Kluyveromyces lactis: one gene and its partner. The protein of the gene in region 1 interacts with the protein of each later gene in a pairwise test. Links are inferred from orthologs where the notes say so. Each region holds a gene or a part of one and is shown in the gene's direction. Other genes may lie near its edges. The genes, in order: SEC65 and SRP14.

What was found.
Region 2: the proteins of SEC65 (region 1) and SRP14 interact in binary tests that used the Saccharomyces cerevisiae proteins (3 or more experiments, as listed by UniProt). The link is inferred for Kluyveromyces lactis from reciprocal best matches to the Saccharomyces cerevisiae genes SEC65 and SRP14.

The regions. Positions count from the first base shown.
Region 1 is NC_006040.1:164,812-167,947, reverse strand, and holds SEC65 (RNA-binding signal recognition particle subunit SEC65), read left to right. Parts: upstream 1-1,818; coding exon 1,819-2,631; downstream 2,632-3,136. Other genes in the region: MDM1 (Mdm1p), read left to right, coding at 1-319; RRN9 (Rrn9p), read right to left, coding at 295-1,533; orotate phosphoribosyltransferase URA5, read right to left, coding at 2,744-3,136. UniProt on the Saccharomyces cerevisiae protein: Signal-recognition-particle (SRP) assembly has a crucial role in targeting secretory proteins to the rough endoplasmic reticulum (ER) membrane.
Region 2 is NC_006042.1:679,344-681,867, forward strand, and holds SRP14 (RNA-binding signal recognition particle subunit SRP14), read left to right. Parts: upstream 1-1,245; coding exon 1,246-1,701; downstream 1,702-2,524. Other genes in the region: clathrin-mediated endocytosis regulator UBX3, read right to left, coding at 1,820-2,524. UniProt on the Saccharomyces cerevisiae protein: Component of the signal recognition particle (SRP) complex, a ribonucleoprotein complex that mediates the cotranslational targeting of secretory and membrane proteins to the endoplasmic reticulum (ER).

The DNA.
Region 1 (3,136 bases):
AGTAACACTCCTTATCTCTAAACTTAATTCCATACTTTGGGTAGATGATATATTCTTCAAGAGCAGCAGCATTCCACAGCCATCAGCCAGGACCGAAGGTGAAATTATCCGAACCAGTACAGAATCGCAGGCGATGCTTGAAAGGTTTATGGTAGAGACTTGCGGGAAAGTGGTCGGCACAATGTATGCGAGCAATGCAGGATATAGATTACATTCAATGCTACAGAACGAGTATTTAAATGTTAGTTTGATGCTCGAGATTATGGATGTCATGTTTGATGAGATTAAACGAATTCAATCCAAGTCTCCAGGTCCATAATCCGAGTCAATATTTAGTGAAACTATATTTTTATTGTTGTTCTTATCTCTCTTCTTGATTCTTCTTCGAGGTTTGTTGGATTGCTCACTCGAGTTTTGGTGATTCAAGACCGTGAAGAACATTTTCTTGTCCCTCGCAAACTCATCCTTCCTAAGTAGGAGCCTTGTCTCTCTTCTCACTACAGGATCATTATTACGATCCTTGATAATTCGTTTCATATCAACGAACGATTTCACGTCTTTCTTACCACTGTTTTCTTTCTTCTTAATGTTCTCTTCGAGCTTTGTATGATCTTGTGGATCATCATCTGATTGTTCCGAGTCCGAGTTGCCCAGGTTCACCTGAGAGAACCTGTCCAAGTATGCATCCGGGAGTACAAACTGCGATTTGTCCATAGTCTTCGGCAGATCTTGAAATAAATCAATGGCCCGCAAATATTGTCGAGACATATCTTCCCCAGTCTCACAGCCGTGCACAATTATGTCCTTGTAATCGTACTTTTCTTTACTTCTGGTCGTCACTGCTTCAGTATTGCCTATGGTGGTACTCTTTAATTTGATCTCAGGCTCACTAGGAATTGTCGATAACGTGACAGTGTTGGTCTCAGCTGCATCCAAATGCAAAGATCCAATAAACCTATCCACCTTGAACAGTAGGTTTTGAAATATATCATCTGGTAAATCCATTTCGTTGACGTCCAGCGCCGTATCATTTACGCCAAGTATCTCACTGTCATTTTCATCGACAATTGTATTTGGATCCTCAATCTGACCCTCATCGGCGGTCTTATTTTCAGTTTGTTGGCCCATTACCGAACTCTCTTTGAGTTTCTGCTGCCAGAACGCATTGAGTTCTCCATATAACATCTCTGTCGCATGGTTCAACGATGACTGGTCCAATTGACCCGGTTGTACCCCTTTCCTATGAATACCGCCTATATTTTCAGAGGCGAGACACCCTGCTTGATCTTCATATATATCGGATGTATTGGGGTCGATTATTGAATTTCTGCTCGGCCACGCGGTCCAATCTTCTTTCAAGACGGTCTTCACAAACGTCTCGGTACGTAATATGTTCTTCTCATCCTTATTCGCTCTATACAATAAGTGTTTCAATAGATGCGCAGAGTATAAATGTACTGAAAGATCATTCCTTTGTTCTTGATCTAGCGTTGCTAACAGATCTATGGCATCACGGGCCAGTTGTGAGTCCATTTTACCGAAACAAAACCGAATAAAAAGGGACCGGTACAATGTTAGCTACCCACTTGAAGTCCAGCGGCTACAATTGCTATGAACTCAATCATTAGTAGCTGTTTGGATTCATGTTAGTTGATCCTCTTTAGTTCTCTATCCCTACTAAACCTTTAAATTCAATTGAAAATTTTTGATGAGCTTTAAACAGTGGATAAGAACGACCACTTCAAAGAGTTGGAAACAAAGCAGCATCAACCAAGCAATAGTTAAGGCTACAGTATTTGTTAGGGATATTTACACACAATGCCTGTGATTGAAGAGATCGATGATATCGATGATATCGATAATTTAGAGATGGATCTCGCAGAATTGGACTCCACGATGAAGACACCAGTGGCACCAAAGATCGTACCCACTGTGGTTAGATCGCAAGATCAAGAAGAAGAAGCATATTCTGCTGCAATTTCTGGTAATGCAGGCAGCGGTAGTGGGTTCAATTTTGTTAATAGCACCACCGGTCAAGTGGAAAAGAGTCATTCTTTGACTAAAGAAGAGCTGGATGAGATCAAAGAATTCCAGATGTTGTATCCATGTTATTTCGACACTAGAAGGACGCATGCCCAAGGGAGACGTGCTCCAAAAGATCTTTGTGTGGAGAACCCATTGGCCAAGACGATAGCAGATGCTGCCAGATCGCTTGGAATTCCATCAATATTCGAAGGATCAAAGACACATCCACAAGATTTTGGTAATCCGGGAAGAGTACGTGTGTTGATCAAGGAAAATGGAAAACCATTTGTGAGTGGAATCGATAACAAGCGAGTATTGATGAAGCGTATTGGAGAGTACTTGAAGAGCCATCCTACAACACTTGAGAGTGTAAAACAGCTTCCATATGGACCAGATTTTGATAACGTAGAACCGAAGAAGATTCCTTTATTGAAGGGAACAGCAATGAATGACATCGTGCCATTGCATAGTCCATACTTGACACAGCATCCAATGACAAAATCGCTATATGATGCTCCTCCACCTCCGCCTCCCGCGCAGCAGGTATCTGCACCAGAGAAACAAATGAAGATGCCAAAGAACAAGTTCCGTGTAGTAAGACGTTAATGGAATACTTCTGTCATTTTTATCACCAAATATCTAAACAAGAAGCGGCGTTTCCCAGTGTCTGTTTTAAATATGTATAATTATATATGTTAAGATAGATTCGAGGGTGATATTATGCAGATGCACCATAAGTTTGACGGTATTGTTCCATCTTTTCCCTTTCTTCCACAGAGATTCTGCCATCCAAGTAGCTGATAATGTTTGACAGGTTGACAATACTTAAAACTGGGATGTCATATCTCTTAGAAACAGATTGAGTAGCACTTAGAACTTCGGTGTCTTCGGTGTTAACCACCTCTTGTCTGTCTAATGCGATAATGGATCCAACAACTTTGCCTTCTTCCTTGGCAATGATCTCAAACGCTTCGTTGATTGCAGTTCCTGCAGTCATGACATCGTCGATGATCAAGATTTTTTGGTCCTTTAGTGCAGCACCAACGATATTACCACCTTCACCATGGTCCTTGGCTTCCTTTCTGTTGAAGGCATACTTCACATCTTGGAA
Region 2 (2,524 bases), on another chromosome or scaffold:
TTGAATTAATGTATTTAGACAATACGCCGCAGCAGCGTTAACGAGAAAAAAAAGTAAGAAATATATATTTCGAAAAGTAACGGAGTGCACTACATTGATCTCCCTGCCAGCGCGCGTCAAGAAAGGGTCCACATTGGAAGTTACTGATGCCGTTGATATCCAAGGGCCTGGACTTAACAGGGCATGAGGATGGATTTATCACTCCGTTGCTGATACCAATCGTAACACAATCTTGCTTATTCACTATATACTACAAATAAATACTAAGAACGAATATCCAATTGGACAAAAAAGCACCTATAAACGATTGTATTGGCTACGCTTAACGGTTTAATGTTTCAATTCTTTTTTTTTACGAATTGTACTGTGGTGAAATCAGCGAGGGACACTGATTCTTTATGAAACCAAATCCAACCAAAAGGAAAATGCGTCAAAGGCTAGTAGGGAGAGAAAAAAAAAAAAAACAAAACAGACACCAATGTCTGATATCTTGCCATCGATTGACAATTGAGCTTCTACAATAACACTGGATACTCCCGGATCTCTCATCAAGGGTGAGAGAATGTACAGTTGATCGATTGAAGGTGTAACATTGCCAACAAAACTCTGTAGCAAATCACGCGATCAACTTACATATCCAATAGGATACCTCAAAAAACAGTCCGTAATCTCCTTGATGACAGAGAAGCTTACACACGCTTCTCTTTAGTGCAAAGTGACAATGACTACCCCCTTTCTGTTTCTCTGTAACTCATCGCATCTCATCTCATCTCGTCTCATCTCATATAGTATGGGGACCTGTTGTTTTTCTTTTTTTTTTTTGTTGGGAAAAACAAGATCGAGGATCGGAAATTTCTTTTTCTAAAAAAACTAACGAATTTCTTTTCGGGTTCAGGTGAATAGGCACAATTGATTTGGCAAATCTGGCGCAGATGTTAAATGTTATCCGGGTAATGAAGAACGTCACGTGGTTTGCCACATTTCATTCTTTTTGCACTTGTTTACCGGTATAGAAACAGAGTGGATATCAGAAACGTCGTAGAAATAAAGAGGAAACACATAGTGAAGGGACGATGGCCGGGTAGTGTAATTGCCAGTTGAAAAAATCGTACTTAGCTCCAGTCAAATGAGGGAAAGGCCTTAGATTCAACCTTCGACAGGCAGAATATGGTAAAGATGTCCAAAGAAAAAGGTTCAATATCATCACTTATCCAAGTCACCAGAATATACAGGTAACTTCCCATTATGTCAGACAAAGATGGAACCGCTAGTGGGCTTAAGGAAACGCCAGATTTCATAAAGAAACCTTTGTCTCATGACGAATTTTTTGTTAAGCTTGAAAAAGCTTTCAGAATGTCCAAGGTATCGCACAATCAGCTCAAAGTAAGCTTGAAAAGAGACTTGGGCAGTCATCACGTTCAAAAACCTAATGAATTGGATGTTACTTCCAATCCTACTGGTGATATCTCAAAGATGTCAGAATCCAAACGTTTAAAACAAAACGCTCAACCAGATACAAAACCATACAGACTTATCGTGCTAGTGAGCATGCCATATGATGGGAAACGAACGAAATTCTTCACTTTGGTAGATTCAAAGACTCTTGATAAATTTTGGAAGGATTATGTTAATGTTGTAAAAACAAGTATGTCTGGATTAATTAAAAAGAAGAAGAAGAAGAAGGGTGGTAAGAAAAACTGATGAAATATTCCCAACCTATTATCACCCATGAATCATAAATCCGCAATCGTGTAGCATTATAAAGTACATGTTATATATACATATATAGATGTCAAACTGCAAACCAGTAATTTGGTTTTCATTCGAACTCCACGACAATTGTTCCCGATGGATAAATTGTCCGTTCTTCCTTGATCACTGTGGTTGGCTCCAAACGGGTTCTGGGCACAGGTGAATATAGTTGAAAGTCATACTGATACTCGTAATTTGGTTTTTCTTGTGTAATATCATTCTCGCTGCTAGTGTCAGATAATAAACCTGCTCTGTATAATGCAACGTATGCGTAAATCTCCTCAATTGTTAATGAAGCATCAAATCTTCTAATAATTCTTTCATTTTCTAGTCTGATGCTTACTCTGCAACCGTCACCCGATGGTTCTGGCACTAGTACAGATTTTCTCCAAGCCAACCATTTCTTTTTAAGTTGGCTTTCCTCGATTACCCTATCCCTTTCCTGGTCCCTTTCTAGCGATTCTTGGTATCTCGAATCTTGTTGTTCTCTTAATAACCGTTGCATTTCCTGGTACTGTCTTTGCCTTCTAATCTCAACTAATACTGAATAATATGAGGCTAATTTGGCCTCAAAATGAGAGAAATCATAATCAAATAGTTGGCCCTCCACTCTGGCAAGCAATTTCATTTTATTATTCCGTTGGGGTCCAAGGGCACCTAAAAATGGAAACTGTCTAATCTTTAAAGAATTAGCAGTCTGTAGCCCTTGTGGTGTTGTAACATCGCAAAACCATACAACGCAATTATATTTGGTGACACATTCTACAAACTC